Linked DNA regions of Ovis aries. The protein of the gene in region 3 purifies or fractionates together with the protein of the main gene of each other region. This does not show direct contact. Links are inferred from orthologs where the notes say so. Each region holds a gene or a part of one and is shown on either strand. Other genes may lie near its edges.

Region 1 (4,191 bases), on a different chromosome or scaffold from region 3:
AGAGTCAGTTCTCTGATGCACAAGCTCTTTCCTCACAATTGAAAAAAAAAAAACTACTATCACTATCCTTATAAGCTGACAAAATAGGGTTTTCCTGGTGATGAAAATCTAAGCTTTTGGAATTAACTATCCACAGCTTAACATACTATCACCTACAAAGAATTAGCATAATGATACCTATTCATTTTAATAACCTGTGCAAAATATTTTATTAGCCCACCCCCACAAAAAGAACCCAGAGCATATTCCCAATGTAAGCAATTACATATTCCATTCTAAAAATTAGTCAAGGAAGAGCCATAGACAAAAGACAGATAACCTAACCAGAGACATCTAAACATTCAATTATACACCTGCTGTTGGCCATCAGATGAAGCAGCTGAATGGTCCACTATAAACTATTGACTAAATCACAAAGATTACTCTTCCTATCAAGTCTGCATCCTGCTCTTGGGATCAATACTTGCTCCCATCCCCTCAATGAAGGCTCATTGTAAATGGGCCCAGGAAAAGAATAGCTGTTGATAAAACTGCTACTTAAGTGTACCTTCTGGTTCTGCAGTTCAAGCCTGGTGACAAGAAGTTTCAAGCAGCTCATTTCATCAGAGTCTATCACTGTCAACAGCAACTAACAGCTGCAGGCAGAGCCTTAGTACCAGTTACCCTAACCTTTTAAAACCCTTCTTCTCTACCCCAAGCCCTGCTAACACATCTCTAAACCTTAGAAACAATATAATTTTAAAAATTAAGTTACACACATGGTTATTTACTTTTCAATTTGGTCATGGAACCCAAGTCAAGGCCAGTGACCCAAAATATGCATGAACTCTTAAAAAATTAACTCGAAGGAACTTCAGCAATTTACATTAAAATTAAAATCTCCTCCCATCTCCACCCCTTCATGATGGCATAATTTCAAATCAATTTGTATCACATATACATGCAGTCTTCTCAAAAAATATTTTAAAAACATGGCTGTTAATATTTAACACTTAGATTTCTTCTGTAAGATTTTAGATTGTTCCACAAATTACACAGGTGGTTATTTTATATAAACAGGCATGAAAATGATTCATGCTTGCTAACTGAAGAGATATGATATGGCCATTTTAAAATTAAAGTCTAGATTTATTCTGACCTAGTCCTCTAAGATCTTTCCATCAGTCTATGATTTTACGATTTATGATACATTGAATGTAGGAAACAGCTTCCAAAATTTTTATTGCTTCACACAAATCAGATGGACTTTCAGGTCCCTGAACCTAGCTTCTTTGTTAAATTTTAGAATTTCTTCTCTGGAGAGTAACCTAACTAGGAACCATTTACCAAGTTAATATCTTCGTGCAAACTATAAAAAAGGTAACAACTTCTTTTAGTTTAATTTAGACTAGCACAGGAAACGGGATTCAAAAAGACTTACTGCTCAAATTGCAAATGAAGTCAGGACCTCTAAAACGAAATAATTAGATTTTTATAATTTACTGTTCCATGAGCTCAAGCTTATCTGATTATTTAGTACTTTCTGCCGTACTCCTCAAAGTTTTCCAACACCAGGACTCCCACCACCTAGAAACAGCTTTCGCAAGCCAGATGCCAAACCTATCGGTCCTACACCTCCAAAGCAGGGTGTATTTCCTGATCGAACAAAGAGCAACAAAGAAGTGGGTGGTAACCGCCTCTCAGAGAGGCAAGCCAGGACCCATTGAGGCTGATCTACAACACGAGCGACAACACGCTGCCCCACCACCGTCGCATTTCCCGTGAAGACTGACTACCTCAAACTCGAAAACCCTCATTATTTATTGAGGAAGTGAAGCCCTTTCATTTAAGTGCTGAGAAAGTGGCGCTCAGAGAACCCGGCAAACAAAGGAAAGGGATGGAGCCCACGCAAAACAAGGGTGCGAACGAGCCTCCAGGTGGACGTGGGCCCCCACCCTCAGGGGCTACTCTCCAGCACCCAACCCGGTCGAGGGGTCCAGGGTGAGGCCGGCGGCAGAGAAAAGGAGGAGACGCTCGAGCCAGCCGGGGACACAGAGGAGGGAAGAGGCGGGGAGGGGAGGGTTGGGGGCTGGAGGGGCGGAGCTCTCGGGGCCGTGGGGCTTTGTGTGCAGTCTGGGCCGGGGTAGCTGTTTCGGCCCGCGAGAAGAAATAGGGTGCAGGCGGCCGGAGCAGGGGACCCCCAAAACCTCCCTCCCACGAGCGGCGGGCGGGACAGGCGCGAGGAAGGGCCGTCCCCTTCGCACCAGCACCAAGCCAAGGCAGGCCGGCGGCGGACCGCACTGCCGGAGCGAGAGGGGCCGGAGGGAAAGTGGGGCGTCCGTTTAGCCCCCCGAGGAGGCTGCCGGACGGCGTCGGGTCGGGAATGGGTTAAGATGCTGCCAAAAGTCGGTCCCTCCTCCTGACCCCTCAGCACCCGGCGCGACAACTCGCGACGGCGGCCGCAGAGCCGATGCGGCTCCGGGCCCGGCGCCACAGCCCTGGGCCGCCCACCCTCCCGCCTGCCCGGCGTCTCACCATCATAGTAGTAGCAGACTTTCTTCTTGCCGCCTCCTTGACTGTACGCCATGGGCTCCCCGGCCACCGCCGCCTCCGGCTCCTCCTCTTGCTGCTGCTGCTACTGCTGCCTCCGCGGCTCCGGCGGGGAGAGAAGGCTGGGGCGAAGGTGGAGGGTGGCAGTCCCGCGGGGAAGGGCAGGCCGGAGGGAGGAGAGGAGGGGGGGAGCCGGGAGGGCTGGGTACCGCCCGGCCGAAGGGCCGAGAGCGCGGACCAGGGGGTGGCAGCGGCGCCAACTCGCGACACTGGGGAGGGGGAGGGGGGCGCCAAACTACCTCCGGAGGCCGAGGGGAGGTGGGGCGGGTCCACTGCGACTCCACGGGGGAGGAGGGGGCAAGAGGCTTCTTCAATTTGGGAAAAGAGGCTTTCTTATGATGAGCGACTTGCACAGGACGGCTACCCTATACAGTCGTAAAAGGATTTCTTTTTTAAAGAGCAGGCTTTCGCTTTTAGATTAGGTAGGTAAAGGGAGCATGGAGCCGGGTGCAAGCTTCCCCCCTTCGGATCTTTGCGCAGTGGTTGTGCCTATCCTGAGCCTGCGCAGTCGGCGCCTCCCCAACCGTAGCCCGGGCCGCCTGGACCCCCTCCGCGAAGTCCCACGCTGCTCCCCTCCCCCTCTGTCGCGAAGCTCCCGCCGGGGCGGACCACGTGCTCTGAGCCGGGCGCAGAGAGACCACTATCCCACCGCTTCGACCTTCTTGAACCCGCCGAGCTGCAACCCACGCCCCCTGTACTGGGTCGTCGTGCATTTCATTTATTTTTTTCATTTTCTACTGATAATCGCTGAGAGGAGGTTTTGACCTCGGAAGAGGTCCCCCCTATTAAGGGGACCTATTGCAGACATTAAAGAGCAGAGAGTACTGCCTGACTTTAAATAGGCAGTTATGGCATGCATGTATGTGTTAGGGTTCTAAGTAATTTATTATGTATTTCATTTATATGTGTTAACTCGATTGAGACTCCCAACAACTGGGAGTAAGCTGGGACGTTAAGTATTGTTTCTAGTTCTTCTTTATAAATGGACTTTATAACGCACTTGGTCCTCTCCAAGGTTGATGGTCTGGGGTTTGATTTCAGCCTTTCTCTAAAGTCCACACATCCTAGCTACTCCATTATGACTGCTTCTGCTGGCTGGGCACTGGAAGATGGCAGCATAAAGTTCAGAGAAAGGACTTTCAGAACTTTTGGACGTTATAAATACCTTTGCCCCTGTGTTCAATAAGTCATCAAACATGGAGCCTTTTCAGCCACCCACCTTGTAGGTGATTGGGGTGGGGGTGGGGGATGCTCTTATTCCCATATACCATTTATTGTTTATAAGTGCAGACTCAGTCACTCAGCCCTGTCTGACTCTGCGATCCCGTGGACTGTGCCCCCCTCCGAGAGGAGCAGGTTGCCATTTCCTCTTCAAGGGGAATCTTCCTGATCCGGGGTTGGAACTCCGGTCTCCTACATTGGCAGGTGAATTCTTTACCATTGAGCCCTCTGGGAAGCCCATTTACCATTTATACATTTCCCCAGATACACATTCTCTCCCATCCCTATCAAAAAAACAAACAAAAAGTCCTTATTGAAGCAGGAATCTTTGGGAGCCAGTAACAAAATTATCCTTTTTATTTTGCTAGTAAATATTTGACT
Region 2 (4,068 bases), on a different chromosome or scaffold from region 3:
CTGGACATGTGTAGGGGGTGGACGTCAAGAAACTGGCAGATCCAGCCCAAGAGCCGCCCCCCTCCCCCACCTCCGCCACTGGCCCTCGGGACTGGGAAGGATTGCCAGGAACGTGGTGGGTGGGTGGCCGGGCTGCCTGAGCTAGGGGGGAAATGGTGCAGCTCTGGACCGCGGGTGGGGGCGGGGAGGTCGGGCTGAGGCCGGCTGCTGTGACAGGCGTGTGGCCAGATGGCTCGGATGGAACTGACATCAACTCCCTGTGCCGCTCCCACAACGAGCGCGTCGTGGCCGTTGCCGACGACTTCTGCAAAGTGCACCTCTTCCAGTACCCGTGCGCGCACGCCAAGGTGAGGCCTCCCGGGGCCTCCGGGGTGGGGCGGGCGGCCGGAGCTCCTCGGCCGCTGCAGCTCCATCTTCTCTCCTGCCCAGGCGCCGAGCCTCGTGTACGGTGGTCACGGCAGCCACGTGACCAGCGTCCGGTTCACGCACGACGACTCGCACCTCATCTCGCTGGGCGGCAAGGACGCCAGCATCTTCCAGTGGCGAGTGTTGGGCGCTGGGGGCACGGGGCCGGTGCCCACCACGCCCTCTCGAACCCCCTCCCTGTCCCCTGCCTCCTCTCTTGACGTCTGACCCCTGCCGGACTGGACCCACCGGCCCTGCAGTGTGGCCCTGCCCCCACCCACCCAAATTCCCCAGGACCGAGGTGACCCTGTCCTCGACTTCGAGACATTCCCAAAAGTGCATTTCCTTGGAGGGGGCGAACGGCACCCCTGCACACACTGTATAGACCCGCTGGCTGAGCCGGGCAGCCCCAGCCTGGGCCCTGACTCCCGCTGCCTGCTGAGGGGCAATAAACCAAAAGCAAAGTCGCCTCCCGGTCCTTTTGTGGGGCGCGGCTGGGCGCCTCGGGGCTTTATGGGGGCGGGGAGGAAGGCAAAGGGGAATGCGGAAAAGGTGAGGGAGGGTGGACTTTTTATGCAAATAACAGGCGAAGCCTCTTGCAAATAACTGCGAGGCTCAAAGGCCCTTCGAGTTTTTCGCGGCCGCTGGTGGAGCTGCAAGACTCCGGCTAGCAGAGAGTTAAGCCCAACTCCTCTCCCCGCCCTCGGAGGCGGGGCCGAGCCGCAACGGAAATAGCCGAGTGCCGGGCCGCGGTTGGCCGGAGGGAGCCGAACTTCTTCCGGAAGTAGCCGAGCTTTGCGGGCTTGCTCTCCGACCGGAGCCGAGTGCTGGGCCTTGTTCTCCGGATCCGCCGAAGGTGTTCCGGAAGGAGGCGAACCCCGAGGCGGGCCGGCAAGTCTTCGCGGCGGCCCTCAGAGTCCAACGTCTGGTGGGACTCGGCGAGGGCGGAGGTAGTTGCAGCCTGCCTCCGGTCCGGCGGGATCCGAGCTCGTTCCGGAAGAAGCCGAGCGGACCGGCGCCGGTCTCGGCGTCCCGGGCGTGAGGCTATAGAGGCGGCGGCGACAGCGCGGGCCGGGATGAGCCGCGACGGCTGAGGCTGCGGAGGCGCCGGCTGCGCGGGCCCGACTGAGACTTCTGCGAAGCGCCGGCCCCGCGCTCAGGGCTTCGCTTCGAGTCCTGCCCTCGGGAGCCTTCCGGACCCCTTTGTGCGGCCGGAGGCGGCGGCGGCGGCGGCGGGAACGGCCATGGCGGCCAACATGTACCGAGTGGGGGGTGAGTACCGGGTGTTAGGGGCTTCGGGACTCGGGGCGGGAGAGGCTCGGCTCCCAGCGGCGCGGGGACCCGCGTCTGGGGCGGCGTGGTCCAGAGCGCGGACCGGAACCGGAACCGGGAGCATGGGGAGCGAGGGCGCGGGGATCGCGACGCGCCCGGGCTCCGAGACTCCCGGGGAGGCTGCGGGCGGCCCGACGGCACTCTCAGGGCAGCGTCTGGGCCGCCGGGGTCGTGGAGTGGGCTTGCGAAAGTGGTTCCAAAGGGGCTGACAGGGCAGGCAGGGGGCGCGAAGGGCCGGCGCAACTGCTTGGCCACCAACGGGGGAGCGGCCGGGAGGTTTCCTTTTCCCAGGCGTTATTGTGCGCCTCGGTTCACAAAGGTGGGGGCCCTGTACAGGGATGAGCAATTGCTCTCCTGAACGAGACCGGGATGCAACTCCATCGCTGAGTTGTGGGGACTGCTGAGCAGGGGAACCCCCTGCTTCTCTTGTCTCCTCCTTAAGGCTCACTTTTGAGCGGAGGATCTGATTTAATAACTGGGTGATTAGGGGGTGGAACGTCCGTCCATTATTTTCTGCTAGTCTGTACACTTCCACATTTCTGCGTCCTCTCTACCTAGACCCTTATCTCCTTTTGGTCTACTCAGGCCTCCTTTCGCTCCTCCCACTCTGGTGCTGGACTCTCCCATCTACTCCTCTGATCTTCCCGGTTCTTCCCCCACCCCCTCCTACAGATTACGTCTATTTTGAGAACTCCTCCAGCAATCCTTACCTGGTTAGAAGGATTGAAGAGCTCAACAAGGTGAGTAGAGCAGAGGCCCGCCACTCCCCCCCTACCCAGCAACCTCCGTCTTCTTTTTTCAGAGATCTGTAACTTCAGGTGAATGAGAGACAAGCGATAACAGAAACCCTGTCCTAAGTACCCATGCATATTCATTCATTCATTTCTTCCACGCTTTCAGGAAAGGCTATTAAGAGTTTAGTGGGAACTTTACTGTTCTGTTTTTTGGGGGGCTGAGGAAAGGGATTTGGAAGTCTGTCCTTAAATGTGAATCTCTTGATTCATAATTTGAGTTTTTCTTACATCCTTTAGAAACTTGTTCACTGATGTTAGTCTCTTCTTTATGCATTTCCACTTTCAAATGATTAGTTTTCACCACCGTTTTTTCTCTCCTTAGACTGCAAATGGAAACGTGGAGGCAAAGGTTGTGTGCCTTTTCCGGCGAAGGGACATTTCGAGTAGCCTCAACAGCCTGGCTGATAGTAATGCCAGTGAGTGTCTTTGTCCCCACCCCCGGTTTCCCTGTCTCCCCCTGCCCATGATCTGAAGCCTGGGCATGTCCCTGCAGGTGTTCTCTTGTAGCATGCCCAAGGCAGGGGTGTGAGTTTGGGGGTGGGAAGTGCCTGGTCTGCAGAGGGAGGCCTGTTTTTACATGTTGGGTTAGAAGCAAGGTGGAGAGGCCATGATAAGGAAAGCCAGAATTTGGCTTGTGTGTGAGTGTGTATTTTTGAATCTGCCTTTGTGAATGGTGTATGTTAAAGAGATGATAGTATGTAAATCGGGGATGAGGAAGCACTTTAGAGAAGCAGATCTCTAGGGGGACAGTTTCGGTTGTGTTGGGATGATAGGTGGTGACTGCGAAGGTCAGGTGAAGAGAAGAGACTGGACTGAGAAGCCTGCATAATAGGAAGGCAGGTTTTTGGTGTGATCATGAGGTGGTAAGACTACACTGATGGGAGAAAATAGGAAGCCAGGAACATTTTCTTGCGCTTTTTCTCTATTCTCACATAGCCTAGGACTCACCTAGCCCTGGACTCCATTTTACATCTTTCCCTTTTCTTTTCAGCCTATCCTGCTTCTCTTGATGCTTTCATCTTTTTAGATACACAGCTTTCTGTTTTCTTATAGTTTCTTTTTCCTTTCCTGCTTTGGCTTTCTTTCCCCTTTCTCTTGTTCTTCCTTTCTAAATTATTTTCCTTATTTTGGGCTTCTTTGAGCATTGGGCGTGAAGGGGTTAAGGAGGACCTGGGCCGACCAAGTTCTCTGGCTCTCTGGGGTTTCCAACCCTGTCTGGCAGGGGCTGACCTTGGTCTTGTCCAATCGGAAAGGCTGTGGGGGGTGTGGTCCCCCTTGCCTTAGCACAGGGTTTCCGGAGCACACAGGCAAGGGGTGGAGCCTACTGCACACCCCTGCCCCCCCCTTCTCCTTGAGGTTGGGAACAATGCACCAATGAGCCTGGGCCTGTGGCTCTTCTGCCCCCTCCCTGTTTGGTTGGCACCCAACCAAGTTAACCCTTTCCACTAAGGTTTCAGGGCAAGTTGCAGCTCCTTGGGGAATAAGGTGTTGGCACTGGCTTGAGAGGTACTGTCCTTGAGAGCCCCCAAAACAAACT
Region 3 (5,432 bases):
GACATCTCTCTTCTCTGTGCCCTTTGCTCACCTTGTCATTTTTAATGCTTATCACACAGTATTACATTTATTTAGGTAAATGACTAGATCATGAGCTCATCAGGGGAGTTTTGTGGGTCTGTGGCTCTATTACTATCTCAGCACCTAGCAGGGCCTGAGACACAGCATAATTAGTCACTACTGAGCGATCCAAATACATTCTGACAGACTCTTATTCTGGCCTTTATACTACGTGGAAAATTCTACACCATACTCTACTTCATTTGTGTGACATTCTTTTACATCTCAAGAAGGTACTCAGCCTAGATTTAAGTACATTTTCTGAAAAGTCATATTTTAGGCTGCCATTCATATCTCTTTCCCTGTTATTATGAACATGAAAGAGCAGTATTTTCTTTTTTTTTTTTGGTTTCACTTCTATACTACACACTTGAGAACTTACATTTCCAAAAAAAGCACATCAAACATTTTCTTATCCATTACGCTTGTTCACCTGACTGTAATTTCAAACTTCCACACAAATTAGAAAGTAGCCACAGTAAAGTCCTACCTCTGGTTGGGTGGAGGGCAGTCAGAGCCATACTCCTGAACGTGCATACCAAAGAAGCACAAGTCAACACCATCGATTTCTTCGAAGGCAAAGAGGGCTTTGGTTCGATATGGAAAGGATTCTGCCATCTCTCCACTATCTACAAATCTATACAATTCATAGTGGAGGGAAGAAGTACAACATTTCATTCAGATTAGAATCATCAACAGTAACTATGTGTGAGCAACTGTGGATCCACAGATAAGAAAGGGGGAAATTACTACATACCTTGCTTTCATGCCTGGTTTGACTTCCACAGTTTTGTCAGAAGCATGAACTACTCGAACAGTGACCTCTCCTGACTCAGGGTGATTCTGTCGCCTCAGAAACTCATTCACACGATTCTCCAGAAATGTCCCAAGCCTGGTAGATGGCAGTCCTAGGATTTACAAGTGACAAGTTCAGGAGTAGCCAAGGTGCACATTTATTACTACCAGTCAAATTTCAATACCGTATCTCACTTCTGCTTTTTCAACACTAGCAAGATTATCACTGACTCAATGGCCATCAATGTGAGCAGACTCTGGAGATAGTGGAGTACAGGGGAGCCTGGCATGCTGCAGCCCAAGGGGTCGCAAAGAGATGGACTCAACTTAGCGACTAAACAACAACACAGAACAGCAAAAAACTGCACAGGCATCTATCTCCAGAACTAAAACTACTGCCACCCACCAAGTGAAAAGATCACATAGGGCTAAATGCAGCCCCTCCACAAAACTGAGGGAATCACTCACGGGATGGCAATGCTGGCCTCTGTCAGGAAATGTGTTGGAATAAGAAAAATACATCTGCGCTTTTTTACACATTATTAGGTATAAGTAACTTCACACCAAAAAGGATACTACAGTAGAACTTCAAGTACATCATGGAAAAATTATTTGTTGTTTAGTTTGGTTAAATATTTTAAATAATGTTGAAACAAAATAATTCTTTCTGGATGTTAATTTTTAATGATGTTTCAAGCAAAGTTTTCCCATAATTTACCTGTAAGAAAGGAACTTACTTTTAGCAGAAAATTTATTTTCTTTTCTAGTTCGTGCAGTCTTCTTTAAACAACCATCACAGACAAATCTAAAATGTAAACCGAGACTTTGTTTAACAACTTAAAGGAGCATTTCAAATAACGCACTCTACAGAATCTATCTTATGTATGCGTAAGGTTGAAAATAAACAAAAAAACAACCTGGGAGAAATACAACCAATATACAAAGAGCTTTCAGAAAACATTAAGAGAAAAAAGATAAATAGGTAAAAGATACAAAGAGAATATAAACTAGTTTACATGTGCAAAGATGAAGAATCACAGATTAAAGCAGAGATTTTATTTTTTAGTCAATCACATTAGCAGAAGTGTATATGTTACCAGTGGGACTATAAAAAGGGACATTTTGAAAGCAGCATGAATAGATTTTATATGTACATTCTCTTTGTTCCTGAAATTACATAAGGATGTGTGCATAAGTAGAATTTTGAGAAAAACTGGACAACACATAAGTACTCATCAACCAGCTGGCTGACCTTCAGTTGCAAGGATCACTGCAAGTCTCATGATCCTTGCCTACTCTGTAATTAAGAAGAGAAACCTATGCTTGGGGCTGGTGCATGGGGATGACCCACAGAGATGTTATGGGAGGGAGGTGGGAGGGGGGGTTCATGTTTGGGAACACATGTAAGAATTAAAGGTTTGAAAATTAAAAAAATAAAAAAGCAAAAAAAAAAAAAAAAAGAGAGAGAGAAACCTATCAAAAGACAAGCTTACCTACTACAATTTTCCTTAGTGTTTTTTTTTTTCTGGAAATTTTGTTATTTAGCCTCCTTTTCCCCCACGAACTCTAAACTAGCATCAAGTTAGTCCAGGAAAAAAGCAGAGGAGAGAGTAGAGCTCCCATCTTGATGAGAGTCACTTAATGCACAGACATCCCCTCCCCAACCTTTCCCTTGAACAGAGCTGGGAGCAGCCTCATTCCTGGAGAGAGGTAGCCATGGCAGTAAACACTTGGCAGTGTCACAATGGACAAAAATCCACTTATTTCCGTGAAAGGCACTGATGATATGCAGCCTGGGTAGATATGTGGAGAATACTCAAGAAACAAAACATGAGGCCCAAGCGTATCTAGTTCACTGAAGTCTGTATCTCATCATTTTCACGTATCTCTGCCTTTCAGTGGGGAACACCCATGTTACCTGTTATCCAACTGCCCAAAAGACTTTAAATAATTCAAGTCTAACCAGGGCCACTATTCAGTATACAATCTCACTGTAATGTTCTCTCAGAGGCAGAAACAAAGTCGTCGTTTTGGTGCTCTCCATTACTGGTATCATCTAGTCTGTCCTCTGGGATATTAGCAACACTCAACATCTGTCAAGTTTAGTTGACACAACTAACACTTTCAGGGCTTTCCTGTGGCTCGGTCAGTAGAGTCTGCCTGCAATGTGGGAGAGCCGTGTGCTATCCCTGGGTTGGGAAGATATTCTGGAGAAGGAAATGGCAACCCACTCCAGTATCCTTGCCTGGAAAACCCCATGGACACGGGAGCCTAGTGGGCTACAGTCCGTGGGGTCACAGAGAGTTGGACATGACCGAGTGATTAACACTTAGTTGTGTCTAACATTTCCTTTCTAGTTTCTAGGTGCTACAGATTTCCTGTTACCTCTATTGATAAATCCTCTATATTTACTTTTGATGCACAATAACCACCAAAGAATTTAGAAATAGTGAACCAGCAGAGAGAAGTGTCTCTACATGGACTAACACATTGTAGTAAGAGAAGGCCTGTTCTGGATTCCAGGTTGATTACTGTTCCAAAACTGAATTTTAATGACCTTTTCCCAATCCAGAGAATAATTCTAAGAGGCAGTAATTTTGACAATAAAATACAGTCATTGCAAAGATGACAAAAACTTGCTAAAGTCTGGGGAAAATACTGATGCCTCACCCCGATGGCCAGATGATCTCATGATGAAGGACACAGATCTGATGCATCTTTCTCCCACACTCTGTACACTCAACAAACCTGCAAAGGCAAAACGTCGAGTTAAATCCAAAACTTGAACCAAATCAAAAGTGCCGGTATTTCTCGTTTTCTGACAATTCAAAAGATGGCCAAGATCATGTCCAAAGAACTGAAGTAACAGTGTTTAAAAGCTCTTTAGTGTAACAGGTAGAGTGAATCTCAAACGCAGTTAAATTCAGTCATTTTATGGAGTAAAAAGTGATAGAAAAGACGACTGCTGTTTAAACCTCCAAGTCTGACACGATCCTGTCCATTCCAGGAATGTCTAGTACCAGTACACTTCTGTACCTCTGAAAGGTGTCACAATAAAGGAGGCGATTATTAAACGGTTGGAAAACACACAGGACAAGGCTGGAATAACGGCACTGAGCAGAGGCAGCCTGGCACCTCACAAGAGCACCAAAACACTAGGGAGGGTTAGTGAAATGCAAATGTAAACCATAGCCTCGATTTTTAACATTTCTACCTTGTCTCCTAGATGTAGGCTACAGACTTAGCCCAAGAATAATAGCATCACCACACTGGCTGCACAAACCAAAAGAATGAAAGCAAGACGGAAAATGAAAGTGTACTACTCAAGGGGAACTACTTACAGTTCAGGATCCAGAGTATCATTTTTTCTCTTTGAAAATTGTTCTTTATTTATTGTACTAAGGAAAGAAGAGGATACAATAAGAAAAAGCAACACAGGAAGATTAGCAAGTTGACTATTGTTCTAATAACCAAATGATAAAAACCCCCACCCTGTTAAGATTATTTAAATCTAAGACTCTATCAAGGATACAGCTGGTACATTCTTAGCTCCCGCAAAACGCACGTTTACATGCCTATGTTTTGGGAAATGACTTTATAGTACCTCTGTTCCCACTGACAGGAGAACCCAGTAAGATCTAAAAGCATGAATTTGTACTTTTTTCTTTTCCTTTTAAAATCTTGCCTACTACTCTTAGTGTTAGGTATTTAAGCCTTTGACTAGTTTACTGTTTCTAGACAGCTCAGTCTAGCAGTATGAAAGACAGTGTGTACAGAGGGAGCTAAACCACTATTTAAAAAAAAAAAAAGGCATTTTTTAGGACAGTCCAGTCAAGCAACTTTTTATATTAATAAAAAATTTTAGCATTAAGAATACATAGTTCAGGTTACTGACAGGATTAGTAAAAAAAAAAAAAGGGGGGGGGTTTCATTAAAAAATTTTCACATGGCCTCCTATCCTGAAATCTAGCCTCCTACTCTGTTCATAGTCTCACAAACACAGGAGGCCACCTACAACAAACTTTTGACTACTGTGATTCTTCCTCATAAAAATGAAGCGATTTCCCCATTGAAACTGTTTTCTCCTAGTTACAGGCTCCAGATTCATTGCTACGTGCCCTAAGGTATTGCTATCCGAAAGTGTGTTTGGAAGACTATCAGCCTGGATGGACCTGGGAACTTGTCAGTAACGCACTCTCTCAGGCTCACTGCCAACTGCAGAACTGCAAGAGGGGTTCCTACACACTTCAAAGTCAGAGACCTGCTGTCCTATGGCACAGAACTTGTGGTAAGGGTGCCTCCCTTTTTTGCATCAGGGAAACCGACCTAGACCTGACTTCCCTGGTTAGCCAAGGGTTAGAAAATCTCAAGGCTCAAGGGGACCCGAACCAGTACCAGAGCCCACCATTTTATATGTCAGTGGTGACTGAAGGAAAAGGACAACTTCAGAATCCAATTTGAAGACACCAAGTTTTTCTCAGAAGCCCTGTTTTTACTAGTAACATAACAATTCTGAATTGCTATGGGAAATGTTCTGAACTGTTTGTTTATTGTAGGTTAAATCGGAAGAGAAGCTG

The links. Proteins that work in one complex are often made in the same cells at the same time.
Region 1: the proteins of EP300 (region 3) and HDAC2 purify together in Homo sapiens (affinity purification with mass spectrometry; 4 studies listed by BioGRID, with this or other methods). This does not show direct contact. The link is inferred for Ovis aries from reciprocal best matches to the Homo sapiens genes EP300 and HDAC2.
Region 2: the proteins of EP300 (region 3) and MTA2 purify together in Homo sapiens (affinity purification with mass spectrometry, with the first as the bait; 3 studies listed by BioGRID). This does not show direct contact. The link is inferred for Ovis aries from reciprocal best matches to the Homo sapiens genes EP300 and MTA2.

Annotation. Positions count from the first base shown.
Region 1 is NC_056061.1:23,732,514-23,736,704, reverse strand, and holds the start of HDAC2 (histone deacetylase 2), read right to left. Parts: upstream 2,801-4,191; 5' UTR 2,567-2,800; coding exon 2,515-2,566; intron 1-2,514. UniProt on the Homo sapiens protein: Histone deacetylase that catalyzes the deacetylation of lysine residues on the N-terminal part of the core histones (H2A, H2B, H3 and H4).
Region 2 is NC_056074.1:37,480,782-37,484,849, reverse strand, and holds the start of MTA2 (metastasis-associated protein MTA2), read left to right. Parts: upstream 1-1,268; 5' UTR 1,269-1,649; coding exon 1,650-1,677; intron 1,678-1,781; exon of another isoform or gene 1,782-2,056; intron 2,057-2,409; coding exon 2,410-2,477; intron 2,478-2,853; coding exon 2,854-2,947; intron 2,948-4,068. Other genes in the region: EML3 (echinoderm microtubule-associated protein-like 3), read left to right, coding at 217-347, 430-633. UniProt on the Homo sapiens protein: May function as a transcriptional coregulator. Acts as a component of the histone deacetylase NuRD complex which participates in the remodeling of chromatin.
Region 3 is NC_056056.1:218,158,077-218,163,508, reverse strand, and holds part of EP300 (histone acetyltransferase p300), read right to left. Parts: intron 4,254-5,432; coding exon 4,197-4,253; intron 3,604-4,196; coding exon 3,526-3,603; intron 1,661-3,525; coding exon 1,593-1,660; intron 969-1,592; coding exon 818-968; intron 698-817; coding exon 551-697; intron 1-550. UniProt on the Homo sapiens protein: Functions as a histone acetyltransferase and regulates transcription via chromatin remodeling. Acetylates all four core histones in nucleosomes. Histone acetylation gives an epigenetic tag for transcriptional activation.